Linked DNA regions of Lytechinus pictus. The protein of the gene in region 1 interacts with the protein of each later gene in a pairwise test. Links are inferred from orthologs where the notes say so. Each region holds a gene or a part of one and is shown in the gene's direction. Other genes may lie near its edges.

Region 1 (6,978 bases):
ATATGTTTTCATAACATGTGGCAGCAGTACATGTCGAGACTTGAGTTCCAGGTGTCCAGACAGTCCTTTGTTGTATAATGGTCATGATGATATAATCTCCATAGAGGTACATGTATTGTGAAGCACACACAATCTATAGGTCTAGTGCTTTTATACAAGACCACTGATCCATGGTGCAAGCTGCTTTGTTAAAATTGTATTCAATGAGTTCTGGGGAATCCCCTGATGTCATGAGCAACACCTCACACTGCTTTTATTGCATCATTACACGAGACATGACATGCACGATGTCATCCGGACATGGTGGCTCAGTGGTAGAGCGCCCGCCTCATGGACGGGAGGTCGTGGGTTCAATCCCCGGCCGAGTCATACCAAAGACTTAAAAAAAGGAACCTTCTGCCTTCTTGTCAGGCGCTTGACGCATGAGAACGGAGAAGGGTAATAATAACCTATTATGTTATGCAGGGCCCGCTGGAAGAACAGCTTACAGCTGAGAGTGGCTACCCTGGGTAAATAAGTGTTATTATTATTATCTACATGTATTTAAGAGGAAGTCCAACCTGAAGAAAAGTTTATTGTAAAAATAGCACAAAAATGGTAAAAGATATTGTAGATGGTTAGAGAAATATAGAAATAAACTTTGAAAAAAGCTATTGGGAATCCAACAAGAAGGACATACATGTAGATAGACCAACGTATTATGAGTTGAGAAAACCATACATGTATATGGCCTATGATTCAAATAAAATAAATATGAATATTTATTGGAAATGCACCTTCAGGAGCATGATCCATTTTCAAAATTGAAAGCCCTACTGTGCCCCTCGATGAATGAAACAATACCAGTTCCAATCATTGTAACTTGAAATATGCAATGAGCTGTACATCTATCTATGCTGAACTCTTGAACAAATTGAAACCAAGCTCCAGGACAAATCAGAGATCATCCAAGTTTGGCTCACAAGACATTCCTAGACACGTTTTTTCTTTTTTCTTCTTTATCGATGTCCAAGGAATGCATGTCTATGCATGTTCACACTTTTTCAGTACTTGGCCAACCTGTCTACATTTAATACCTCTTGGCTCTTTGAAATACATGTAACACTTCTCGGCCTCCTGAGCTCAAAGCATGCTTTGACCTCTATTATTATTACCCATCTTTTTATTCTCAATAAACCGTCTGCTTTTTTTGCTCCTCAAATCGGCAGCAATAATTTGTTTTCTATTCATTTTCATGTCCAATTTTAAAGAAAATTCAAGGGGAATATGAATTTGATTTTTTGTTATTTATCATTTAAAATCAACTTGTTCTTTAATAAGTTGTTGGGATGATGAAGTCTGTTAACTTCTTTCATTTAAAAAAAGTAAAAAATTGATAGCCTCTTTGCATTAACACTGCAGTGTACACATCACATACATTTCATATAGGAATGTATGTAGAAGGGGAGAGGTTTTAATCTTAGTTTATATCCCTTACTTAAGATTGTTGTATTGAGAGTGTACACAAGGAGAAAAAGAATAGTTTTACTACGAAAAACGTTTGCCATGAAATAGTTCATTTTCCTTGCTGACGTCACACATAGTCCATTTTTTCCCTAGGGAAAAAGTGAACTATACGTTTTTTGACCCCGCCCCCTACTCGATTCGCGAGCTGTGCGGCGCGATGCGAGCAGAGCGCTGCTCAGCCCAACGGTACTCTCTACTGCATGCCATGGGAAACTTTCGACGAGCTGCACTAACCAGGTGCGCTCGCTGAACAGACGATCAATACGGCAAGGCTTATTGTTTTCTCAACTTCTCAACGATTGTTCCATCATCGACTTATTAAAAATCGTTTTGCTGTAAAAGTCGGGTATCAACGAAGAATATCGTATGAAGAATATATATGAGTGGAAGGGATATAAAACAAATATACAATGACCCATTCTCGGAACTGGCTAAAACTATTTGCACTCAGGAACATCACACGATGGCCCTCGGGAGAATAGTACTATATGATGTTCCTTCGATGCGAATAGTTTTAGCCAGATCCTCGAGTGTCATTGTATATTTGTATACTATAAACTTCAAAAGAAAGAAGAAGGAAAAAAACCAAGGCCCAAGTGTCAGATTATAAAGCAGCATTATCTATTCTTCAGGAATTCAGAATGTAATATAAATAACCTTGAAGAAGTAATCCTTTATAATACGCAGCTCTTCCAAGCTAAACTACATAATCGTACAATCTCCTTTTAATATGTTTGTAGTTTTCCATACACTTTTTAGAATCTCTCACTGGAAAATCCCCATGAAAATCCTCTTTCACTGTTTAGCTCATCCAATATTTATAGATTTCCATTGTAGGCAGTAGGTTTTGAATTGTAGTCTGGGTCCACGAGAAAAAAAATCCTGACCTTTGTCTTCATTTGAAAGAAAGGACAAAATATTTTTATTCACAAGTCAGATATTTGAAATGGAAATAAAAAAATGTAGATATTTTAAATACATCCATATCTTTTGTAGTTTTCCATACACTTAAGAATCTCTCACTTGAAATGAAGAGCCATACCCTTGATGACATTTTGTATGCAGGAGACCCTGTGCCCCTGGGAAGCCTTTAGGGTCAAGATAAAAAAAACCTGACCTTTGTCTTTATTTGAAAGGAAGGACAACATATTTTCATACACAAGTCGGATCTTCAGAGGAAATAAAAAAATATACATCCATATATCTCCAAATATGTTTTGTAGTTTTCCATACACTATAGAATCTCTCACTTGAAATGAGGAGCCATACCCTTGATTACATTCTGTATGCGGGGAGACCCCGTGCCCCTGGGAAGCCTTTAGCGTCAAGATAGTGATTGTTAAATATCTCTGTGAACCCATCCTGCAAATGATGCGCTATATTTATCTCCTCTTCTGACTTCAGAAGATCAGATGTTCTAGGTTCATTTATTGCGCATTTATTATGCATGATCAGACCCGTGTTCAGTGTAGTATAGGCCATGTGTTGTTGGCCTATGTACATGTACCTTCTCTGTTTATACTGTGATATAAATGATAATTCAGGGCCCACTGGAAGAGCAGTCTTATGATTAAAGTGGCTACCCTGGCCCCTTAGTAAATAAAACATTGTTATTATTTGTGTTTACAATGTACAGTGATGTCTAAAATCCGATTTTGAGAAATGTTTTCTGTATTTTCCTGATCACATTTTCCATCGATTTACATAGAGTTTATGTTAAATCGGTATTTAAAAAAGGTATAAACTTGATGTTTTTGGTCAGTTTTCTTTGAGGGTACATACATGTACATTTTATGTAACCAACTATTATGCCAAATTAATTTTCTGATGATGACGAACCACAGGTTAATTTAAGCAAATGACCATTGAGGAACAACTACAGCCCATAGATGGTTTATAGCCTACAGACTGTACATGTAGGTCAGTAGGCCAAATTAATTTTTTCAACTCCATTTGCAATCAGTGGCAGGGTGTGAAGTCCAGCACCCGATCAATGTCCACTCATCAGAAGCGAACTACATGGAACAATGCGATTCATGTACACTACACATTTTTCATGGGCCGCTAGATAGTTTAACTGCTGAGATTTTTTATAAGTTGGTAGCCGGGGGGGGGGGGGGGGGGCGGGTATGGAGTGCGATGGCTGATTGAACCCCCTAAATCCTAGCAAGAAAAAAAATAGGGGAGGAAAACAATTCATTGACATGAAATGGCCATCAGTTTTGGCTGATCAGTGATGACCTTTGTTTTTCTCGTCAAATTTTCAAGCCACATTTGCAACCCAACCTGCCTTTTGGAATATTCCTGGCAATGTACAGTACTTTTCCATAGATCTGCCCATTCAAACTCAAAAGTGTCAATGGCAACTAGCTGGTAACATGACTCCATTATTCATAGCTTTCTCGGTGACGTCATGTCAGTGATAACATTGTGCAATCATTGTATTCATTTGGATGTTCATAGTACACATACATGTACATACATGTACAGTATCAAATGATCTACATGTACATACAATGTACATGTAGGATGCCCTGGAGCTTGTGAGTGTGTATTGTGCTGCCAGCTTGTAAAAGATACCAAACAGATATAGGCCTACATACAACTATTTGAATTTTAATGATTGGGCATTAAGATTAAAATGATAAAAAGTGAAATCTAATCCGGGAAATTAATATTGTTAGTGTGGTTCATGTACTACAATGTACAGTGTATGTTTGGTCTCTCATTTGTTGTTAAGATGTCTGTACATTGTACTTTGTTGACATGTGATCTACACTGTACAGTGTACAGTGTTCCTTATCTTTCAAGGATCAAACCTTGTTTGTTTTCCGCTGTATGCCAAAGTCTACCAACACCAAGGATTGTCTAATGAAACTTGATATTCCTTATTATGATTATTGGCATTATATGTACATGTTTGGATTGTCTGCCTATAAATAACACAAATACACTGTATACATTGTAGCATAATTATTTACTCCGGTCCTGACTCCCCATCCCCCCCCAAAAAAAAAATGATTGGGTACATGTTCAGTCACTGGTCCTCAAATATGTACAGCTGAATATACTGTACGTATGTAGTGCTGGATGTTAAAAACACTATTTTTTTTTTTTTTTGCAGGATCTACCTTACATGTAGATCAGGAATACAAGGCCTGGAACCTGATGACCACATTCCATTTGATCATTCCATCACTCATCACCATCCTTCATCCGGTGGATGTCCAGCTTACGGCAAAAGATATCGCACTCTCAACTGGGCGATATAACCCAGACGACGATTGACCAGAGAAGTTAATCAGAAGAGCTCATCCTCTCTTCCCAATCGTGTGAATTCGCTCTCATCCGCTATTACCCTCTCTCTGTCCCTCTCTTCAAGCTGCCGATGCTCAAATACCAATTCGTCGTCGGCAAACATCGCTTCGGATGCTTGAGAGAGAGGAAGGGGGCGATATTGGATTATATTCACCGGCTATAATTACACCCAGTGAATAGCAGATGGGATCAGCTGACTGGGTGGCTTGTGAGGACACTGTTTAAACCTGTCATGGACTTTTGCCTTGGGAATCAATGTAGAAGTGAATAGTGTGTGTGATCTGTGGACGTCTTAAAGCCAAAGGTGAAGGTTTACTCGGAAAGTACTTGAGAGTTTTAACATATTAAAAAGGGGATGAACTCGTATGATATTTCTTACTATTGAATTTTGATGACTATGTATGAGATGGATCTGAATAACATTGATGGATAAATATTATTTGCTTCATGAATATTAAATCATTGTCAAGGAAACGAAGCCAGTCCAGTTGACAGTTGGAACTGCTGCCTGGAAGTGACCTCGATTCACTCATTTATTGAGATTTATTTTCCCCCCATTATGCCTCTCTATCCTTTTGGGACGATATGAAATTCAGTCTACTGTTCCTAATGAATTGCCAGACGTCCATTAGTGGTGCGGAGTAGATGCCATTCAATGGTTGGTTTTGGAAATTAATAATTATTTGGAATACAGGCACATCTTCTTGTGGTAATGTGGTAATTGTAATCTTGATCTGCAACAGCATACAGGACTGTTTTTAACAAGTAGTTCTGATGATTTGTGTCTTTATTTTGGAAGCCTTTGATTTGAAATTGTGGAGACATCAGGATTCTAGGGTCACAATCGCAATGGAGCGATTCAAATCTCATTCTTGCTGATTTGTACATGTGGATACCGCCAAGACTATATTACAAAGGGTGAAGGAGCCATCAAAGATTGCTAACCAGGAGCTGCGAAACTAACCAGTCAAGATGACGGACCCGTCCCCTGCCGCGCGCAACCCCATCATCCTCTGTAGGACTTGCGGACAGCGCCACCAGCTCCACGACAACCACGTCTACGACTACTGCGATGTCGTAGACGAGGAACTTACGTGTAATATATGCCTTCAACCACTAGTGAACCCTATGGATACTATGTGTGGACATACGTTTTGTATGCGCTGTCTTAGGAGTGTTCTGAACTTGCATAAATTCTGTCCGATCGACCGGAGGCCGTTGACACAGCAGGATTGCAGATCGTCAAGTCTTATCGTCAGAAGGTGAGTGATGTATTATAACAAAACAGAGCCGTTTGAACGGTTTGATACATGTAAAGCTCAAGCTGTTCGTAAATTGATAGAGACTTTAAGAACGACTGGTGAACTCCAGTATATACGTGTACCATCGTTAGTGACAGTTTTTGTCTACACAAGAAAGGATCACCATTGGTTCTTAAAGTAACTTTTAACTTTATCAACAGCTTTATGGAACACGCACCAGAGCCACATCTTACAAAGAGTTATTATTGAGCCAGTCAACCTCGGATGGAAATACATCAATGTTGTAATTTTTCATCCAGGAAATTGGCACAACGACCCTTTGTCATTAAAGAGGAGCACACTGAATTGTCAAGACAATGATGCATGTTTGATATACATGTACATGTACATGTACATCATACATGTATACAGCGTACATGTATAATTTAGAAAACCTTTTTGTCAGACATGCATTATTATAGATTGCGGTTGCTGGCTTGCCATACTTTTGGCTGATCTGATCAATCAAAACTATTTGTAAGATGGGATTCAGAGGTTCCTATTGACTTTATATTAATTCTTTGATTCTGATAGGCAGGGTGCTTCTGCTACATAACTTTTTAGAAGCACTTGCCCAGTTGGGCAAGTAAATTTTTAAATAGCTGGAATATACCTGCCCAAAAATCTATTTCACTTGCCCGAAATAAATTATTGAAAAAAAGTTTTACCTCTTCAAAAGAAAGTTTTGCAGTTTTATAAACCATTGACCTTTTTCTCTCAAACTGATCTACTTTGTTATTGCATTTCTTTTCCCAAATTGATTTTATATTGCCTGCCATGACCAAAATTAGGATCAATATCATATCGACCCTAATTTTGGTCATTCTACTGTGAGAATTTTGCCTGCCCAATT
Region 2 (7,656 bases), on another chromosome or scaffold:
AATCACTTTTTGAGTCATGAAAAAGAAGCATATGTCACTACATAAAACAATGATAACTCAAGTGCTAGGAAATATATTTGGTTAAATTGACTTGAAACGGGATGTTTTAGTACAACAGGGATTATTATAGCACCAGGAACAATGAAGACGTAGGCCCTGGGCAAATTATGTTTCATAAAGTTATGATAAAAATGTTTCTTATGTAATGTAACATAACATAATTATAATATAATATAACATTATAATGAATAACATTTTCTTCTTTCCCAATACGTTTCTCTTCCTTTCTCCCTCTTTTCTCCTTTTCCCCCTTTCCCCGTTTTTTGTTTTGGTCAGCCGATGGGGGGGGGGGGGGGATGTGCCCCCCCATGCCCCCGTAGTTACGCCACTGTATGTCCATAATTATGGCAAATACCCCTCCAATATTATTATCTTTTTTACCCCATGATGGTTTAATGGTTTTATTAGAGATTACATTAAAAAAAATTGACATTCCATCTTATTCCCTTCCCAAAGACCCCAACATTGATGAATTGGAAGAAACGGGGGTTTCTCTTCAATGTTCTAATAAGGACATAAGTATTTCGTTTGGAAATGGTGAACTGGCTCTTTATTTGCATTTTATGATTCAATAATATTGTTTTATTTGTTAAGCGGTATTTTAGGAAGAATTTTCACCAATAAAACGATTATCTCTTGTGATTTTTTTTCCATTTCTTTCGTAAAAAGTGGGGGGATGTTTGTACAGGCCACCCCCCCCTCCTCGAAAAGAGGGGGGATATATCCCCCACCCCCCCCCACCCCGGGATTTACGCCAGTGAATAGAATCATAACAAAATATAAAGTAAACATTATAAATAAATATCAAATACAATACAAATTCATACAGATGAAAAAGAAATGTATCATAAATAAATACAAAAGGCCAAAAGTACTACAAAGTGTCACCAAAGAAGAAAAAAGCGGGATGAAAGATTAAGAAGAAAGAGGAGAGAGAAGAGGAAAGAGGTGAGAGAAGGGAAAGAATTGGGATAAGACAAAGAGAAGGGAAAGCAAGCGGTGGAATTTGAAAGAGAATAGGAGGCAACCTTCAGAAAAAAAAACTCATTATGCAATACAAGACATTTAACAATGGTAACAAGTAAATAAAGTAGTAATTGAATCGAATCGAGCACAAAAAGGGAAAAGTAGAGCTGAGGAAATAGACTCCCGAAGGAAGTCGAAGCAGTGTTGATATTGCACATGAGTAGATTAATAGATGGATAGATAGAAATAAAAGAGAGACAGATGGATAGATAGAGAATTTGAGAGATAGATGTTAGATGGATAAATAGATAGACAGATAGATAGGTAGATAGAGAATGAGAGAGACAGAGTAGATAGACAAATTAACAGATAGATATATCATGTAGTTCCATAGATTGATTTATAACATAGATAGTGGATAGACAGATATGATAGATATAAGGATAGATATAATATGAAAAAAGGTAATTATGTGTTTTATTTTTCAATATTTTAGCTATTATTCGTTTTCATTCATATAAACGATCATGTGCGATAAAGTTTTAAAAAAATCATGAAGCCAACGTATATAGTTCAGCGGAACAACCAAAATACAGAGACTGAAGCTTTTGGTCTATAAGCTCAGCTGCATTTGCACTTATGTTCTGCGGATATCCTCGGTGCGGACTTTTGGATCGCGCGCCCAGCTGATTATGTAAACAAACGTAGACGTAGACTCTTCACTAGTCGCTTTGTGGCTATTTTTCCGGGAAATGCCTTCGCCAGGGTGTAAAACGGAAACGCGCGGCCGGTGTACCGGCGGATCCTGCGCGTGGCAGATACTGTTCTAGGCACAAAATCCGCCGGCGGATATGGTTCTCCTCCGGCGGATTCAGTACCAAAAAAGGCCACTCCCTTCGGAAGATTCGGAAGATATCGTTCTTGCGCTATCGCGATATCCTTCATTCATCACGTTCACACGTCATGCATGCACGCGCACCGCGCGTGAATAACGTTGCGAAATGAAGTTCGAAGAAGAGGTGGGTTAGCCTTAGTCTAATTGAGAGCCAGCTACCTTTCGGATTCTAGTTACATTAGGCCTTGAAGAGGAAAGCCTCAACATTTTGCCTTTATTCTGATGATTAGGGACAGAGTCAGACTCAGACTGACGTTAATCAGAGATTAAGTTTGCACAAAGAAGAATCTAACTTTGAGCTATTTTTTGGCATTATATTCAGTAAATAAAATCATATTCTACACTTTTCCTTTGCTTTTCTTTCCTCCTTTCTTTTTGTTCTTGTTTGTAGAACTTTTTGGGACCATAGCCCAACCCTTCCATACGCAGTGCTGTGCGGTTGGGGTCCGGAATTTCTTGATATCAAAGCCATTTAAACCTCGCAGATTGCCGCTATTTTAATCAAATCGCGGGCATGTACAGGATATAGCTTTTACACAACACATTTATTCAACCCAGTTGCGTAATGAACCAAATATTTTGAGGGGCAAAACATAGTAATGTGGGAAAAATCTGTAAAAAGTCGCAAAGCGATCGAGCTGGAAAAAAATGCCTTTTGAAATTAAATTCTAATTATGTAATTGATTTTTCCATTAGATTCAGCAACTAACAAATTTCATTGTTTCCATTCATTTCATTATACCTTGTCTCCTTTAATTTATTTTTTCCTTTCCCGTTTTTCTTTTATTCCTGGTTAAATCCGACAGGGGGCAACTCCCCCCCGCCTGTTACGTCATGAATATCCATTAGGTGGACTGATGATGTCACATCTCAACTTGTTCTTTTGTAATTTATTATATGAAATTAGGTTTATTCAAATTTTTTCCTCCAAGAACTAGAAAATTTGGATTGACAACTGATTTAGTGCATTAGATATTTATTGCTGCAACTTGTTTCATTATAAGGGAGACATATTATTCACACAAGTATGAAATAAATGAAAAAAATATGGTTTTGTGTGATAACATAAGAAAACGGAAAATGGGGATGTGACATCATCAGCCCAACTAATGAATATTCATGATGACTGTTTTCACAAAATATTGCTTAACTTTAAACTTCAATAACTTTATTATTTGTTATCCGATTTTGATGAAATTTTCTGCATTTTGCTCAGTGAATTCTACTCTATGTATTAAGATATGAATATTTTCAGCCCGGACCATCCCTTTAATTCAGATTCCTTAACAAAAATATTGAAAAAAAAGGAATAAAAAAAAAACAAATTAAAAATAGGCCTACAATAAACTACATAAGATATTAATCATGTTTTGAAATTCTTTTTTTAAATGTTTTCACAAAAAATTAGCACTCTACAAGCAATAATATGAGTTAACAGCAATATATATTCATAAACTAATTTGCCTCATTTATTTTGAAATTATGAAGTTTTAACTCGTTGAAAATCTGTAGTTTTATCAAAACTATAGGCCTATATGGGGGTACAAATTTTCGCCAGTCTGGCAAACTTACACTAATCATGGTGTGAAAAAGCACAGTTAAAGATTTCGATGCATACTGCGGACTTAAAGTAGTATAAATTTTCACGTAGGGCCTACAAAACAAAATGATGAAAATTTCATTCAAAAATCTGATAATAATAAATAGCAAAGTTTTGGCGCATGTTCCAGGTCTATGTATACATGATATATCGAGTCATTGTTTCTCCTATTCCCTCACCCCCATCGAGCCCTTCGTCAAAAGCTGTATGGATCCGCCCCTGAATAAAAATTCACTAAAAGTCTAAAGGCGGACGAAAATCCCCTCCCCCCATTGGTAACGACATTGCCAGAGCCGCGCATGCGCGCGCTGCCGAGGTTGGACGTCTGTCCAAATAAATATTACACGTATCGTCAATAGAACCAAATCCGCCGAGGGACCAAATCTGCAAACATCAAGCCGCGTCAAACCCGGCGGATATGGTTCCGATTAAAAACGATATCGGCCATTAAGAACGATATCTGCCGGCGGATACGGTATCCGCCGGTGGAACCGAATCCGCCGCTGCGCCTGTAGTCCTCAAGTCCACGCGCATGCGTACTCTTAATCCGAAGACGCAACTCATGAATATTCATATGTTGGTCCAGAACTCGGTGGGAAAAATAATTTCGCCGCCGGCGGGGGGGGGGGGGGGGGGGGGGGGGGGGTCTTGGTTCCACACCCAAGAGAAATAAAATAAATTAAAGGAGACAAGGTATAATGAAATGAATGGAAACAATGAAATTTGTTAGTTGCTGAATCTAATGGAAAAATCAATTACATAATTAGAATTTAATTTCAAAAGGCATTTTTTTCCAGCTCGATCGCTTTGCGACTTTTTACAGATTTTTCCCACATTACTATGTTTTGCCCCTCAAAATATTTGGTTCATTTCGCAACTGGGTTGAATAAATGTGTTGTGTAAAAGCTATATCCTGTACATGCCCGCGATTTGATTAAAATAGCGGCAATCTGCGAGGTTTAAATGGCTTTGATATCAAGAAATTCCGGACCCCAACCGCACAGCACTGCGTATGGAAGGGTTGGGCTATGGTCCCAAAAAGTTCTACAAACAAGAACAAAAAGAAAGGAGGAAAGAAAAGCAAAGGAAAAGTGTAGAAAGTGTGCATATCGCATGCATGACGTGTGAACGTGATGAATGAAGGATATCGCGATAGCGCAAGAACGATATCTTCCGAATCTTCCGAAAGGAGTGGCCTATTTTGGTACTGAATCCGCCGGAGGAGAACCATATCCGCCGGCGGATTTGGTGCCTAGAACAGTATCTGCCAGGCGCAGGATCTGCCAGGCGCAGGATCCGCCGGTACACCGGCGCCAGGCTCAAAATCGATTTAGGTAAACATTTTACTCCATTATGAATGAGTATGACGATCATGGTTATGTTCATGTGTATTTTTTAATGTGTTGGTGATGATTTTCTAAATAAAAGCAAAATCATAGTAATAGTATAGTAGCGATTCTTTATGTTGCCAATGAATGAGTGACGTCGTGACGGCTGAGCTGAACTGAGTTTGTACATGTACTTGTAGTTGTACGGTACGTGTGTCCCATTCGTTGTTTCTTGTGTTGCAAATAATCATCGTTGGTAAGGGGATCTGGTGCAGGGTGATGGGTAACCCAGAGAGCTCCAGCCCGCGTAGCGGGCTGGAGCCCAGACGCGCAGTGTACAAACGGGCATTCAGGTGAGAGTACCGTGAAGTTTGGTCAATATCATTTACATAATACATAATTTAAACAGAAATTAAGCACTTACCACGATTGTATGGATGATAGTCTAACGAGTGGCAGTTTCCTGACATCGAGGCACAGACTGGAACCTCAAAAAACGATCAGTTCTGTCGCGGTGTCTCTCCCTCTTTCAAAATTCAAAACAAAATGGCCGATCGAGACCGAGGCTAGTATAGCACTAGCGCATATAGACTTTGTCAAATTCGCGCATGCGCCCTACACCCTCTCGAACGGCCATTTTGCTATGAATTTTGAAAGAAGGAGAGCCACCGCGACAGAACTGATCGTTTTTTGAGGTTCCAGTCTGTGCCTCGATGTCAGGAAACTGCCACTCGTTAGACTATCATCCATACAATCGTGGTAAGTGCTTAATTTCTGTTTAAATTATGTATTATGTAAATGATATTGACCAAACTTCACGGTACTCTCACCTGAATGCCCGTTTGTACACTGCGCGTCTGGGCTCCAGCCCGCTACGCGGGCTGGAGCTCTCTGGGTTAGGTGATGGGTAGACGGGCCACTCACACTAGTATGAGGTTAGTATCACTCCTGGTACCAATCACTCACACAACATGCGAGGTTAGTTATTATACTAACCTCGCACAATGCATGTCATTTCATAATGAATTTTGACGTTTTCATTCATCACATGAACGTGAGAGAATGAAACACGCCAAAATCTTCACAATATACTAAATTTATTTAGGTATCTAAATCTTATCATTTAATTCAATTTTAAAAATGTGCTCGAACGTATTTATAAAAAGGGATTTTAAATGCTTACCTCCAAATCTCAGCCAAGACACTCCGTCCGATCCTTAATACTGCGGTGGAAATTACGCAAACAACAATCGAAATGCATATTTTTCCTATCGAACAGTCTAGATTCAAGTCTTCGGCGCATAATAGGAAATTGTACCAAAAAAATCAACAGGTTGCATCTCACGTATAATCGCTGCTGGCGCTACATCATAAAATTACGGTGAACAGCGAAAAAAAATGCGGAGCGCCTAGAACGCGACCAGCAGTACAGCTGATCTGACGTAAACGACGTAAACAAGCAAGTTTATTAAATAATATTGCGCGCCCTCTCTGTGCGTATAGAGAGAACCAGCGAATCGGCACCTAGATCAAAAGCTTCGGTCTCTGTTATGTTGGTTGTTCAGCTGAACTCCGTTGGCTTCACTCACCAAATACAGAGACCGAAGTTCTAGCGCGATCTGTACAGGGGACTCAATGGCCATATGTTTATGTGTATTAAGTTCGGATAAAACAGGGCAGTGAAGTTGCGCGACAGCGGAGGTAAGTCACTGTTTTTGTTCCTTTTAACTTGATTTTCCCAGTTTTTTGGCAATTAATGCCAAGAGGGAATATTAATTTGCATTTCGGTCGCGTTAATTTTCAAAAGTTTGATTCATTAAAGACAAAAATTGAAGAGCCCCGACGGGGGGATTTTGCATTGTAAGTCCCCTAATGGTGGCTGCACGATAGCGAGCCGTCTGTGTATGAGGAGAAATTAAAAAAAAAAAAAAATGTTAAAAAACTCCTCGAAACAGACGGCTGCCAGCTGTCTAATCGGCACCATGACTGCTTCGACATCAAGAAAAATCATCGATGTAAAGTACCAGAAAGACAGAGAGGAAATGAAATTGGCTTCATATCATTTGGTAAGTTTCATATCCAAAGCTTATCTCATTTTAAATGTAGATATATTTCTAATTTTTAGAAAAGACGAATAAACTTATTGCAAATGCCGTGCCAGTGGTTATCCTGTGCACGGCGGCGGTAATGTACCCGTGGGTGCCTGCACCCAAGTATTTAGTGATATATGACTAAATACGAGTTGTGTGCAGGTCTGTTCATCATTTTCCTTTTGTTTTAGGATTGATTTAATCGTTAATTAATATCAAATTTTGGTGTGTAGGTAGATGACACCAAAATAAAGTCTAAGTTCAAATTCGGAGTCCGCAGGTCAAAGGTCACAGCTCATTAAATATGCGAGTTGGTTTCCACATGGTAACTTCTGAAATATTCAACAGATTAAAAAAAAGTTGGGTGTGTAGGTAGACGACACCAAAGTACAGGCTAAATTTGAATTTGGAGTTCACAGGTCAAAGTTCACAGCTCATTATGTATGCGAGTTGGTTCAAAGGTCTTAGTTTGTTCATTATATGTATGCATATTGATTTCTGCACGATATTAAGTTCAATCATATTGAATGAATTTCTGATCGCGTAAGCGGGGGCATCTGTGTCCTTTGGACACGTCAAATTTCTAGTTTAAATGTGTGTTGTCTACTGCATAGATCTACATGTACATGTAGATTCCCCTCAGGTAGGGTGGTTGCAGTGAACAAGTGGCATGCCTGGGCTGGAGCTTGTGCCTTAATTGTCAACAGACTCCACAGA
Region 3 (7,834 bases), on another chromosome or scaffold:
ACGTAGTGGGGAAAAAATAAATTATTGTTCATTATATTGTTTTATTATATTATATTATGTTATATTACATAAGAAGCAGTTTTTCATCACTTTATGAAACATTATTTGCTCAGGGCCTATGTCTTCATTGTTCCTTGTGCTCGCATAGACTGTTTAACGAGATATATAATCCTGTTGTACTAAAACCTCCCGTTTTCAAATCAATATACTGTACACCAAATATATTTCCTCGCAATTCGAGTTATTATTGTTTAATGTAGTGACATTTGCTTCTTTTTCATGAATACTTAAAGCGATTGCCCTATTTTAAGGTATTAATATAAAACATTTCCTGTCCGTGCTAATGTTCGCATTAGTTGATTGGTGAGACGTCTGCTCTTCATGAATTCCTAAAATCAGTCCTTAAAATGTCAATTTTTCTGATCTCAATATCAAAAATTTTCAGCTCGCGCTTCGCGCTCGCATCATTTGGTTAGTGAAATACGTACGGTCTTAGTGAATTCCTGCAAACAAGCCGTAGAATGCCCCTTTTTCAGGTCTGAATTTCCTAAATTTTCAGCTTCGCGCTCGCAGTATTTGATTAGTGAGATACGTATGACTATGACAACAAAAAGTGCTTCATGTGTTTAGATGTAATTCTAACAAAATCAGCAAAGGATGGCACTAGTACTAGATGACTATGCTGAGATATGTATGCACTTAATGGATTCCTAAAATATCCTAAGATATTTTTGCTGGTGCCCCCCCCCCCCCCCCAATGCCGTGACCCACGGTACGCCACTGGATGGGGGTGTCAAGAATGACATGAAGATTGTGAGTAAAATCAAGCTGGATCAAGGAGAGAAACAGACCTTCTTACAGACGATGTAAAAGGGGGCATAAACTTCCGAAAGTATATACAAATGCATAACTTGTAATTTTCCAACTTTCAATCGGTCTAGATAACATGCGAAATGGATTTTCTGTGTTCGGGGGATGGAATGTCACAAACGAATATAGTAATATGCGTCTAAAACTATATACATCTAGTGATCAGAACCCTTTAACATTTTATTGCAAGAATCGATTCCATTTGATTTCTGTATTTAGCATGCCCCCCCCCCCCCATTACTGGTAAACACTCATGGCATTCTTGATTTATTTTGGCTCATGAGTGCTGTTAAATCATCGATAACAAGACAACAATATGCCTTCTTTTTCAACCCCTTGATCTTTCAAGGCAAACAATCTTCGTATGGATTAGAGTTCCAATCTCCTTCATTTCTTTTTATTTTTGCTTGTCAGGTTATTTTATTTCAAATATTGCTCTTTTCAGAAGTGATATATTTTATTCATTCATTCAGTCCTTCCTTCATTTATTTATGATATTTTTATCATTATATATATATATATATATATATTGATTTATTTTATTTCCATTTTTCGGATCTTTATTTACATATATATAATTTTTAGTTTTTATCATTTTGTGAAGGTATGAATTTATTGTCATTGAGTCATTGAAAAACTGCCAAACAAATTGGAGCGTTTCTTTGCCTTACTCCCCCCCCCCCACCCCATGTCCTCATCACGTTTACTTTAGCACAAGCTCGTTTCAGATACAATATCTTTAATATGGGACTATAATAGGCGTTTTCGGATTTCAAATATTCTCTATTTTACCTTCACCAATTTCCTCCAAAAATTCACCAAAATGATTCCAAAACTTTTCGGTTGCTGATAAAGCATATTTCATATTGTGTAATGAATTCTATTTTAAAAGAAGTGTGCACTTACGAGTTATACCAATCTTGATGGCGTGTGCATAGACGGACCGACCGTTCTTGTCTCTGTAGTTCCAGTCCAATCCCAAATCATCTGGTCTAGAGAGGAACGTCTTTACGAGCAAGAGATCCATCGACTCGACGGCCTCAAATAGCTTCTGCCGATAAAATTTCTTGAATGTCATATTTGCCAGTTGTCTGCTTTTCCCTGCTTTATACTGCTTTTTACTCCAAAGACTTATTTAGAGGCCTCTTCCTCAGGAAAAATGAAGAAATATGACAGCCCTCTACAAATCAATTGATGATCAAGTTCATAATTGTTTCCAGTTCTTTTAATAATGTGTATTAAACTCCCTTTGAGGTCTATTCATTCACTTGACAAATTGAGGCGGCGTAAAACAGTGCAATATTTTCTGTTGTTTACATTCCATGATTAAACCCCTTCACGAGCGAAGAATGGCACATATAACTGGAACTGATAGACATTGCATTATCATCGATGTAGATTTGCACTTGTCTCCAGTGAACAACAACATATCTCAGTCGATCAAAGATTTAAGAGGGTTCCTTTAATCCAATCATGGACCCATGATCCAACGTCGAATTGATCTCTACCTCGGAGAAAACGTTTCGCCAACATTAATATTGCAGGTATCCATTATAGTCGTACACATCTAAACACGTCAGCCGCACAAACCACATTGTAGTCATGTCATTTCTCAGTATACTAGTATCCATAACAAGAATTATCTCTTTATATCATCCACGAATCTGACAAAATTCTGTGAAGCTTTTCACACGAAGCTTTATACAACTGATCGTTATATTAAATGGGTCTGATACAAAGGTATAAACCGAGCTCCGCCTAATAATCATAATCGAGCAATGTTTATCAATCATGCCGCTGGAAGTACCAGCAGCCGGCACAAAGCGAGAAAAGAGTTCAACAAAAATCATTTGAAATGGGGAAATGGAAGCAGAAAATGCAATTATTTGTTCTTCATTGCATGGCTGGATCTGAAAAGCTTCGGGCCTTGGCTATTCAATATTGTATTAGTCATGATTGTGTGCTGATATTAATAATTATCGTATATATTGCCTAAGTATTATATTCTGTATGCGGTGAATAATTAATTATCGTATGTTCACTGCCTACTATGGGAAGATTCTCAAGAATAAATCTTAATAGAAATGGGGAAAATCATTGTGAATCAATAGGATTTTCTCATGTACCTGATATCCTTCTGTCATCCAAAATTATGCAAACAAAAGTGCACAATTAGGGAAACTCTAAATTAATCTACTCAAATTTTAATGAAATAGGTATAGGCCTATAATGCCAGGGCGGCACCCGATCGAATTTATGTATTCTGTGTTCTTGAATATTGACGAACTGAATAGATTCTATGTATTATCAATTTTGTTTAATTTTGACAATAATTCATTTACTGTGTTTATAATATATTTTAATTGTCCCTCCCATACTTATGGCTGGGTAATTTTGTCTCTGATGTTCACACATATAGTTAACCTTATTTATTAAAATATAAACACCTTTGTGTCATTATCATTCTCACGTACCAAGTGGTATAATGTTTACTAAAGATTAAAAACATAACATAATAATGGCTTAATGTTAGAATATCTATTAAAAAGCCTCTTGTCACAAATTGTTATTCGAACGAATAGAATCCATTTATTTATTCATATTGAGAAAGAATCGTCTGATCTTGTTAATATAAATTCTCTAAATGTATCTTTATTACAAATTGGAATAGATTGTTTGGAGTGAACATGAAACAAAAATGAGTTAAAATGACGAATGCATTGGATCAGGGGGCAACGTTCCTTATTGTCTAATCTGTACAAATCAGGCTGAAAAGATTTTCATCCACAGTTTCCCCGATCGGCCTGTAAAGATTGTTGGTTTTTAAGGGGGGGAGGTAACATTAACTATTAAAGGGACCAAAGACTGATCGATGTTTTAAGTACATCTTAACTTAATTCTTACAAGCAAGAGAGAGTATATCTAATAAAACCTAAATAAAAAAAATGCAAGAGCAAAGTGCGAGCTCAAAATGTTGGATATTCCATGTATTCAGACCTGAAAGTTTAATTTTTTTTTATAATGATGCGAGCGTGAAGCGCGAGCTGATTTTTTTTTTTTTTTTTTTTTTTTTTTTTTGGGGGGGGGGTATACAGGCCTACTTAAATTGGGCATTCTGATGATCTTTTTGTAGTCATGAACAGGATGCGTGTCTTGCTAAACAATTAATGGAATGCAAATAAAGGAGGAAAATAGTTAAAATACAAGGTCTGCTTACCGGAAAAGGGGACGATCAATATTGTTCTTGGAATTGATAAAGATTATACATTTAGCCAGTCAATCAAATAATAAGAGTGCGAAGCAAGCACGAACTGGAAATTTGTGATATTGTTCAGCACTCATTTTCTTAACATGATGCGTGTCGATCTCGCTGAAAAAATAATAATGGAAACTTGAAAACGAAAATTTTCAAGCCCCATGCATGTTATCGTCTTGAGCAAAGTATATTGACCTGAAACTTTATTTTTACAATCCCTGTTTTATTCAACTTTTCTCATCCTCTTATCTTTTTCATTAAATGAGGAAAGGAAAGAAAGAAGAAAGCAGAGTATATTATAATAATAATAATAATAATAATAAAGGTAGTTACCCATGGTAGCCACTTCAGTTCCGAAAAGTGTTCTCCCAGCGGGCCCTGCTATTATTACCCGGCTAAGCTAGGCTACCTTTTCGGTGCACACAGCTTTTTTAAGGAATTACTTCCTGCCAGTACCCATTTACCTCACCTTGGTCGAGTGCAGCACACTGTGGATGAATTCCTTGCTGAAAAAAATTACGCCATGGCTGGGATTTGAACCCACGACCCTCTGTTTCAAAGTCCGGAGACTAATTCACTGGGCCACGACGCTCCAAAATGGGAGATCTGAGTCAGATAATCAATGAATGTTCTTATGTTCACCCCCAATACCCCCCCCCCCCCCCCATACACCCATCTGCCCCACTGATCTCTCCACTAGTGGAGAGATCAGTGATCGGCCCCCTACAAACTCTGCGCTGCAAAGATACCATAGTTGAAATAATAAGTAAAATAATTCGTCCCCTTTCTTCATTTTTTTTTATGTATTCGCTTCCGGATTTCTGGTTGGTTTACATTTTCCGAACTCGTAGTATTATTCGCCGAATAGACCTATAAGTGGATAAAACATGGCAGCACAACCTCTCGTCATAAGAATAAAAACACAACATGGAGAGGACGTTGATTGGACAGTGCAGCTTGGTCAATTGTCATTTCATGAAGTCTTGGTAAGGCCTAGATCTAAGGGTGTTTTGATCGGTTAAACTTTTCACTCGCTCTCACTCGGTCATCTTGGTCCGACATATTCATTTTATTGTCTTGTTTTGTACCTTACATTGGTTTTGATAATGTTGACGAGTGAGCCAGTGGCGGTATTAAAATGTTACAAAATTCACAAAAGATAGGATATTAAAACAAGCAAAAATAGGTACTTCCCTCAATTAGCAGTGAAAGTAGACTTTCCACACAGTCTCTATGTACCAAATCATGACATTTAATGTCAATGACATTTCCAATTGTAAAGAAAACAAAAATAGGGTGTCTGGAAAAAAAAAAATCTTATTTTAAGAAAATATCACATTTTCTTTGTGAATTTGAAGAGAAATAACCTTCAGAATGACAGAAATGTATTTTTTTTTTAATCCAATTATTGGCTACAAAAAAGAAGAATGAAATTGGGTAAATTTTCAGCATTTCCCTGCCCCTCAGCCCCTGGGCCTGCCCACTCATTCAATGAACAAGGTTATGTGTTATAACCTTGTTCTCAGTTAGTGAGTTACATCTCCATGTGTGGCAAATAAGGGTGGCAATTTTGGCTTATTTTCTCTTTTTTATGGGACAAATGCTTGATTTTCTTACACTGTCAGTTTCCAATACAGCTGTTCATCATATAACTTGGCTCTTATGTAAATTTGATTATTTAAATTATTTTTTCTGAATAAAAAATAGAGATTGAAAAATGTAAATTTTCTTGCCATATTACTTTCCACCAATAGAGGGTGTTCACAAAAATATGCCAAAAATTCAAGTTTTTGAGCGCTCTGTTGAATACAAAAATTACAAGTTACTAATGGAAATAAATTGCAACTGTATGGAAATTAGTTATTTTGGTCACGAAAGTGATATTTTAATGATTTTTTAAAGTGTGTGCTCAATACAGCATTGGCATACCATAGTCCTACCTGTAGATTCTCCACAGGCAGGATGGTTGCAGTGAACAGAAGCGGACTGAGGACTGTACCTTGGGGCATGCCCGGTGTGACAGGATTGCTGTTACTCATCTTTCCGTCAAGTATAACTTGTTGTGTACGCCCTTCAAGAAAGTCCTTTATCCATGAGAGTATTCGTCAAGAACAAATCAAGTGTTCTGTCCGTGCGAGTTGGAAAGTTGACAATTTGTGACAGTCCGACATCATTGAAGGTGGACTTCAATCATTCAGTGCAGCAGTGTATTGGTGACCGTCGATGGATGCAGTGTTCCAATTAATGTCGGGAAGATTGAAATCCCTGCTGACCCAGACTACTGCAGAAGGATTACTGATCGTAATCTGTTGGATTGCTTGGCACAGAGACTGAGCATAGACCATCATTTTTAGGAGGTCGGTTGGAAGACACAACAATGAGTGGCTGTTGGCCATAAATCTAGATCCTTGTTGCGATGATCTCACAGTCACAATTCAGTTGTACTTCACAGTCGACTAGATCATTCTTGGTGGCAAGTAGTCGATTTGACATTTTCCGAACCTAGAAATGTCTTTCCGATGAAGTTTTTTTCTTGATTCATGTTCCTATGGGGTCCTAGAACAAATTCAGCTTGGTTGCCCAAACGGCAACTTTGGGCAATTTTGCTAATTTGCATAAATCCAAAATGGCCGCCACATGCCATCTTAAAAACCTAAATTTTGAACCCCTTGCCCCAAAAGGATAAGGAATAACTCCTTTTAGAGGTTTAGGGTAGGGTAGAATCCATTTCTATTATCATTTTTACATTATAAGGTCATCTTCAGGTCAAATCCAAGATGGCCGCCAGATGCCATCTTGAAAAATTAAATTTGAACCCCTTTCCCCAGAATGATGAGTAACAACTTTGTTTAGGGGTTTTGGGGTGTGTAGAATCCATTTCTGCTATCTATTTTGCAATATAATGTTATCTACAGGTCAAATCCAAGATGGCCGCCATATGACGCCATTTTTATATTTTTAAATGTTAACTTTTGAACCCTTTGCCCCAGAATCATGAATATTAAATCTATTCGTGAGTCATTTGGTTTGTTGATTCATTTTATGTTGTAATTTTGCATAAAGGACAATCTTCAGATCAAATCCAAGATGGCCGCCAAACGCCATCTTGAAAAAAACTACTTTCCGAGGCTTATACGTGTAATGGCTAATATAAAGGGATTTCAGTAAGAACACTCGTTTCTTTTATTAATTCTCAAGTTTTAGGTCAAGGTGAAGTCACATCTGAGATGTCAGATTTCGACATTAGCTGCTCACCTTAGAATGAATCCTTTTAAGGTTTTGGCTATGATCCATTTCGTGTGTATTTTTATTTGTTTTAATGTCCATCCATACTCTTGTACTGAATAGGCTTTTAGTGTCTTATTTGAATTTGAAAGTCTTTTCTCCATGTTTTCCCTATATCAATGTGTCCAATGATTGGTAGGCATCAGTTCGTCTTAAAAGACGATGGTGTAGCGCTATAGGGTCTTACATTTTCGAGAGTGGCTGTAGAACTTAGCTCTAGAGTGGCAGTCTCTAGAGCAAATTTGTACAGGTGAAGGAGGATGGCACTGAGACAGGTATAGATAGAGATGCTGCCCTAGCCTTCCTCCTAGGTCTTTGGTCTGCCAAAAGCATTCTGATTATTTTCTCACGTCTTGACCCCTGTACTTATTAGCTCTCCATAGAATGGCGACTATCATCTACATCTTCATAAGTGTTAGTGTA
Region 4 (7,312 bases), on another chromosome or scaffold:
TTAAAATGAATGAACCCATTGTTAATAAATATGATATATTATTTCATAATTTAATTTCAAAAGTTTGCGAAACAATTTTGATATTTGGCAATAAATTTACAAATGGCGTCATATGGTACATCAAAATAAATGGGTGACACAAAAGACCTTCCTTTTGAAGAGTAAGACCCTTTTATGCCATCAGCCTGGAAGTTGTTTTAAATTAAAAATCAAACTTGTATCAGGTCTTAGGGTGTATGTTTCACAAGATGCTAAAAATATCACATTTATGCCATGTACAGTTAATCCTTTTTAGCACTGCCAGGTATTATAACTTGATTGATTATACATTCAACTGGACAGATTATCTTTTGTTGGATTACTACATATTCACATAATCAATTAATCATCTCAACTTTTCTCAAGCATACTTTTAACTTCCATGATATTTTGATTGACAGTTTCTTTTCAAAGTGTTTATATCTATCAATCATTTCACAAAAAATTTGATTTTTCTTTAATAGCTAAGATACATGCCCATTGTCTCCCAAAATGAATACATTTATGCCCCCGTAAATGAAATATATATGAAAAGGGAAGGGTGACGGGTTTTCATAATTAATGCCCGAGGTACAAATAATATTGCTACATGAACTTATCCATGTTAACAGAAAAGTACCATTTACATGTGTTTAAAGGTATTTGATGAAGTACTGTGTGAAATTACTTTAGTATACTGTATATATCTTGAATGTAACGACATAGGAGTGTTGTTGTAAAGTTTTAAATATCTATCTGAAGTAAATGCAGTGCAATTCCTAAGATGATTTTTAAAGATTGTTTTACTGCATGATAATAAAAAAATTTCTTGTTGATATAAAATCTTCTTTGAGAATGGGAATTAAATAATTCAATTCAATTATATTCAAAGTTTATTTCAATCAAACAATCAGTCAATTAATCAATCAATCATAGAATACAAATATATACAGATTTAGATAAAAACAAGTGTTGCTAAATACATACATGAATTATTGAATTGATTTAAAACTGAATGAATAGTAAATTTTGAAGCATTAACTTGAAAAGCACATGAAGATATCTTTGAAGTTGAAAGAACACTGATAAATTACTATCCATATTTGGCTTTGAGAAAGAAAGATTCAGTTCAAACCATATTGCACAAGCCAAAGACAAATGTAATAGAGTCTCAGCAGAGTGCTATTCATTTTTACTTCTTTATCCCTTCTTATGCAGATATTTTGTAATGTTGAAAAAAAAATCCAAGTATGTTTCTTGCCAGATGATCAGTTGGAAGAACTCTAAAACTTCATCATAAATTTATTTGTGTTAATTTTCTTGTGTTAAACAGGATTTGATATGTCTGACTTGTATAATTATGTAGATCTCTCTTTTATAAACTATTTACATTTATGTATGCATTTTCAGTTTATATACCAACTAAGATGTAATTAATTATGTAAAGTAATCTTTGTGAAAATGTTCAATTTTTGTTGGATTTTTTTCTTCAGAAATACATTTATCCCTCGTTTAAAGTTATTGTTCGATGAGCCAAAGATTGTTTGCATTGCATGTGTGTGATATTGTCCAGTCATGTTGTTTTAGTGGGAGAAGGCTTGAAGGGGAAGTTCACCCTGAAGAAAAGTTTGTTGTAAAAATAGCAGAACAAAATAATGAAAAATATTGGTGAAAGTTTGAGGAAAAAGATCAAGAAAGTTATTAGAATCTTAAATTTTGGATTTGTGACGTCATAAACAAGCAGCTGCCCCATATGTCATGTAAATATAAAATACAATATTTTCATTTTTTTAATGGTTCGCTTTGACTTATTCTTGTTTCCTTTTTAGGAATGGGTGTGAAATGATACTGAAGGTTCAGTAAAACCATTTTTCATTTTCTGAGAAAATTACATTTCATTGATTTTGTTACCATAAAATATGTAGGAAAGATGCTTGCATATTACATCACAAATCAAATAAGTTAAATTTTTTATTCAATGATGGATTTTTCTCAAACCTTCAGCAATATTTTTATTATTATTTTTTTTTTGTATTTTACAATAAACTTTTTTTCAGGGTGAACTTCCCCTTTAAAAGCCGGCTTAAAAGTTATGTAAAGAAGGAAGAGAGCACAAACATATTATTTTGTTATATGATTTATATGAAAGTGATTAAAAATGATTCTTGACATTATTTGCTTGTTGAAGATGGAACAAGCATGACAACTGTTCCATACTGATAACAACTTATATGGCCACTTGCTGCCAATATAATGGTTTGCATAATTTTTCTTTATTTCAAAGTCCAATATGCAGAAATTTCATAAGTTTGAATGCTATGGCCCCTGGCTGCCAATATAATGGTTTGCATAATTTTTCTTATTTCAAAGTCCAATATGCAAACATTTCATAGGTTTGAATGTTAATCATAAAAGCTTTTATCTCACTCTGAGTGCAGTTATGAACCAAAGATTTATTTGTTTCGGGGGTTGTTGTAAACTTTCAGAATAATTAGTTACAGAATGTCAACATTTACAGCAAATTTATGCATTTATGCACCTTCTAGTATTGTCATGTATTGGAAGAACTTTCGTGTAATGAACCTTCAGATGAACTGTCAATTTAATGAGTAAATAACTTGAATAACCTGAGGATAAACATATTCAGTATGCTTTGCTCCTTCTTAATGTTCATATTACTCTTCAAGACAATCTACCAACTGCAAATTGACAAAATCACAACATGTAGACGAAGAGGGAAGGGGGATTCTCAAATGAATCATATTAATTTGGTACTGATTGGCAATTGCTTAACTTATGATTATTCTTGTGCACCCTGTTTTGTGTGTAGTCATAATGAATATTTTATGATTAAGTATTTGGAAGCATACCCTTTTCTGTAAAGTGATTTTCATGAAAGTGATGAAATATATATATAAATAGTATTAACGTCAGTTCAATTTCATTTGTCATAATTATTTCCAACTGGAAATGGACTGTCAAATATCTACTACAATCTCATGAAATTTAAGTCTGTACTAACTCAATTCCTTAGATATTTTACCACATTATACTGGTCAATCACATGGTATTAGCCCTCCAAAATCGCCTTTGAACAAGTTTTCTGCCAACTGAAATCATCATGAGACAGTTCATAAAGGAGAAATTCAATTCACCCTGATGATAATTCAGTTTTAACCCCCCCCAAAAAAAAGTATTGTTGCAGGTTTGATGAAAATCTGTCTAAGAATATGAACTTATAAGGTTATGGATGCTTAAAGTTTTATTTTGTGACGGAACAGAAAAGTGGCCCCTCAATATGTTTGGTGATATAAATTCCCCAAATTGCCATTTTTTTGTCAAAAAAATTGAACTCATATTTTATTTGTGCAGGGGATGTATCAGAGGTATCATTTCATTCCTTCTATAAAGGGGTTTGAAAAATATTTTTATTCCCATTAAAAAATTTGAATTGTGGGATTATATCACATTAAGGGGGAGCTGCTCGCATTATATGACACGTACAAATGAAAATTATATTTATGGCTCTCTTATCCTCTGAAGGATTTTCATTAACCCTTACCAATATTTTTCTCTATTATTTCTGCTTTTATTAAAGAGGAAATTCACCCTGAAGAAAAGTTTGTTTCAAAAGTAGCAGAAAAAACAATAAAAAATATCGAAGGTTTATTAAATATTAGGAAAGTTATTAGAATTTAAAGTTTTGAATTTGTGATGTCATAAATGAGAAGATGCAGCATATGCAATATAAAATGCATAAATTTCATTTTTTATTGGTTCATGATAACTCTTTTTTCTTTTTAGGAACAGGTGTGAATGGTTTGTGTATTGTTATACAGGAGGTACATTAAAATCCATTTTTAATTTTTCTCAGAAAATGGAAAAATTGAAAATGGATTTTATTGTACCTCTGGTATAACAATACACAAACCATTCACACCTGTTCCTAAAATATGTAGGAACGCTGCTCACATATGATCACAAATCAAATAATTAAAATTCTAATAATTTTTATAATGCTTTGATGGCTTTTTTTCAAACCTTCGGCAATATTTTTAAAAATTATTTCTTCTATTTTTACCATCAACTTTTTGTCAGGGTGAACTTCCCCTTTGAAACATTCTAAATGCATTTACTGTAGGTTAATTAGATCTTTGAAAGTATTACATTCAAACACATTTAAAAAAAGATCAAGTGGAGGTCAACAATATGTGCTCCTTGGTTGAAATTCAAGTTATGCTCCATTCCAAATGTTTATCCAACATGCTCTTGCTCAGGGATTTTTTTTTTTCGGGGGGGGGGGGGGGGGGTAATAACCCAAAGCTAATGCCATTTTGTCCATATCATTTAAACAATAGAGGTATTATATTATAGAGTTAGTCAACCCAGAAATACTCTTACACTCTTACTTTCTCATTTCTTACTGTTTCCCCTTCCCTTTTTTTCACTACTTTGAAAATCATAATGGGCTGGCACCAGAACCTCTTGATAGGATAGAAGATAACTTGATATTATAATTTTGGCAGTGACAAGATAAGGGAAAGCAGCACCATAATCTTCACTTCCGGGTGGTCTTAGCATATAAAATGTAACTATTGCTACTAGTGGAGAGAAACGAAGACAAGAGGAAGAAGGGATGAGGTCGGGGGAAAGGTCAAGAGACGAGGGATGGAGAGGAAGAATGAAAGAGGGGGAGAGAAGGAATGAGAAAAAAGGAAGTGAGAGAAAAGTGAGAAGCTAGCTAGCTAGAGAGGGCGCTACATCTGATTGCGCAACGGGGTGACATCTAACCATTTCTGGAAAGCGAGACAGCTACATTCGGGCTTTATTTTCTGGTTTTCAAAATAATTGAATAGGCATCAGTGACAAAATATGGAGTACATAGAGACCCAAGATTCAACACAGTGTATGATGTAAGTATTCACTCTAATTTATGAGATTTTTTAAAAAACTTTTCTGTGATATTTCTTACGAGAGCATGCCAGTTGCCACATGTCGCTTCTTTTAAAATAATTTATCTTGTCTTCAGTCCCACGTGCTATAAATTGTGTCTTTAACCATGTTAACTTTCACTTGATTGTGGCTGGCTCGTGGTTTGTGCAGAAAGTTTAAAGAAGAACTGGAAGTAGAACAGTGGAATTTTTTTCCATGCCCATTTATTATTCAAACGTTGGTGAGACCAATCCTGGAATACGCCACTGGTTCACCCCGACCATTCGCCATACAGAAAAATGTACGGGGTGGGATAGACAGCTGGCAGCCGTCTGTTTCGAGGAGTTTTTCAACATTTTTTTATTTTTTTAATTTCTCCTCATACACAGACGGCTCGCTAGCGTGTCGCCACCATTAGGGGAGGTACAATGCAAATTCCCCCCGACGGGGCTCATCGATTTTTGTCTTTATTTCATAAATATATATGAAAATAAATCAAATGGACAAATATGCGAATTAATATTCCCTCTTGGCATTAATTGCCAAAAACCAGGGAAAAATAAAGTTAAAAGGAAAAAAAACAGCGACTTACCGTGGCTGTCGTGTAGTTCCTAGTTCACTCGTTCATCCGAAGTCGATATAACACACAAACATATGCCGTTGGAAGAACTTCCGGGTCAACTGCGTATCAAAACCATTGGCCAATCAGATCATCTCTTTTACGTCGGGTTTATGAATACTAAAATTCTAGACGTTTTTTTCCATTTTCCTTTATCTCTTTCTCTTTCGTTTTCTCTCTTTTTTGTTTTACTTTTCTTTTTATTTTTTATTTCCCCTTTTTTCTATTGTTTCTTTAACTGCTCCTTTCTTTTCCCCTTCTGTAATGTTGACGTAAAGGTCATGGGGCGGAGTCTGACTTTCGTCGGCCACTTTTTCATGAATTATTCATTACCAAGATGGCTGCCCACTAGTCCGAGTCGCAAGTGTCAACTTTCAGAGTTAATCCCCTGATTGCCAATTTTAAAGCGGGAATTTAGGGTAAGAAACTGTCGTTACTTATACATTTTCAGCTATAGGTGCATATGTATGAACTTTTGGTGGAAAATATCGCGGTATCGAGGAGAAAAACAAGAAATTAGCTGTGGCCATTGAGCCCCTGTACAGACGACTGTTTAACTTCGGTCTATGTATTTGGTGAGTGGAGCCAACGTAGTTCAGCGGAACAACCAACATAACAGAGACCGAAGCTTTTGGTCTAGGGGTGGGACTGATCTGAGACCAGTGCCGCTAACACTGTCATTTCTATGTAGGAACGCGCGAAGTAAAAGAGTCTGACTTACCAATTCTTGTGTTGACCCAAATGCAGATTTTGGTTCTACTTTAACAGGATTCCAATGCCCAATGAGTCAAATATCGTCCTTCAATTGAAGATTTCTTTCTAAATCGGGTAAAATCATAAGGAAATTTTTCCTTATTCTCGTCTGGTCCATAGTCTCCTACGCAAGGCTCGACATTAGCGGTGGCCCGGTGGCCCAGGGCCACCAGAAATTCACCTCGGGCAACCATTATTGATAAAATGTTAAGTTTTGGTGGCCCGAATCGGGCAACCAATAATTTTCAAAGTAGCGCAATTTTTCTCCCGATTTTGCACGCATTTATCAACTTTCTACAGTTCAAATTGCAACCCAGTTCGTCATGCGCCCTTTGTGTTGATCTACACACAAAGTTTGCATATTAGTAGAGTTACCAAAAGGTCGGCCGATCCACTGAGCAAAATTGCTATGGGCAAATGAAAAGCCAATTGCAAGTGCGTAAACAGTGTGCATTGCCACCATCGTCTGTTCTCGACGGCAAAAATGAGCATTGAAATGCTTTTCCTCAGCAAATTAGTTCATCTTAGTTACAAATGTTATTCCCTGTGCTTTCTATATTAAAATTGACTTATGTGGGATGAAGTGTCTTACCTTCATGTGGTATCGAAAGTGACGTTTGGAGGTTAAATCCACAAGAAATCCACAGAGTAACGTCGCGTGTATTAGCTATGGAGAAAAATGCGTGCGATCGCATGCGTTGTTGCAAGCTCGAGATGGCGCTGTTGAACTTGGTCTGGAAATTCATAAAAAATAAACAAAAATCCTTTGAGTAGGCTCACAATAAAATCATAAAAAATATACTTTATGGCTTAAACGGCAGATCTCGTGCCCACACATATCATACTGACTGTTGCGTAAGAAACCCTTTTTTCATGATAAAAATATAGCAATAAATGTTTTAAAAATAATGTTTTTCACATGGAATATGTTTGAAACATCTATATTAGAAGAAAAATGTGTTTTTGGAATGAATTCACACTAAAATGATG

The links.
Region 2: the proteins of ligand of Numb protein X 2-like (region 1) and selenocysteine lyase-like interact in binary tests that used the Homo sapiens proteins (3 or more experiments, as listed by UniProt). The link is inferred for Lytechinus pictus from reciprocal best matches to the Homo sapiens genes LNX2 and SCLY.
Region 3: the proteins of ligand of Numb protein X 2-like (region 1) and dual specificity mitogen-activated protein kinase kinase 5-like interact in binary tests that used the Homo sapiens proteins (3 or more experiments, as listed by UniProt). The link is inferred for Lytechinus pictus from reciprocal best matches to the Homo sapiens genes LNX2 and MAP2K5.
Region 4: the proteins of ligand of Numb protein X 2-like (region 1) and 60S ribosomal export protein NMD3-like interact in a two-hybrid assay, tested with the Homo sapiens proteins (3 studies listed by BioGRID and IntAct). The link is inferred for Lytechinus pictus from reciprocal best matches to the Homo sapiens genes LNX2 and NMD3.

The regions. Positions count from the first base shown.
Region 1 is NC_087250.1:24,234,780-24,241,757, reverse strand, and holds the start of ligand of Numb protein X 2-like, read left to right. Parts: upstream 1-3,974; 5' UTR 3,975-4,049; intron 4,050-4,055; exon of another isoform or gene 4,056-4,217; intron 4,218-4,630; 5' UTR 4,631-5,796; coding exon 5,797-6,086; intron 6,087-6,978.
Region 2 is NC_087258.1:5,796,942-5,804,597, reverse strand, and holds the start of selenocysteine lyase-like, read left to right. Parts: upstream 1-4,645; 5' UTR 4,646-4,855; exon of another isoform or gene 4,856-5,056; intron 5,057-7,656. UniProt on the Homo sapiens protein: Catalyzes the decomposition of L-selenocysteine to L-alanine and elemental selenium.
Region 3 is NC_087249.1:19,536,721-19,544,554, forward strand, and holds the start of dual specificity mitogen-activated protein kinase kinase 5-like, read left to right. Parts: upstream 1-4,821; 5' UTR 4,822-5,013; coding exon 5,014-5,112; intron 5,113-7,834. Other genes in the region: short transient receptor potential channel 5-like, read right to left, coding at 1,777-1,948. UniProt on the Homo sapiens protein: Acts as a scaffold for the formation of a ternary MAP3K2/MAP3K3-MAP3K5-MAPK7 signaling complex.
Region 4 is NC_087245.1:29,841,948-29,849,259, forward strand, and holds the start of 60S ribosomal export protein NMD3-like, read left to right. Parts: upstream 1-4,311; 5' UTR 4,312-4,890; coding exon 4,891-4,931; intron 4,932-7,312. UniProt on the Homo sapiens protein: Acts as an adapter for the XPO1/CRM1-mediated export of the 60S ribosomal subunit.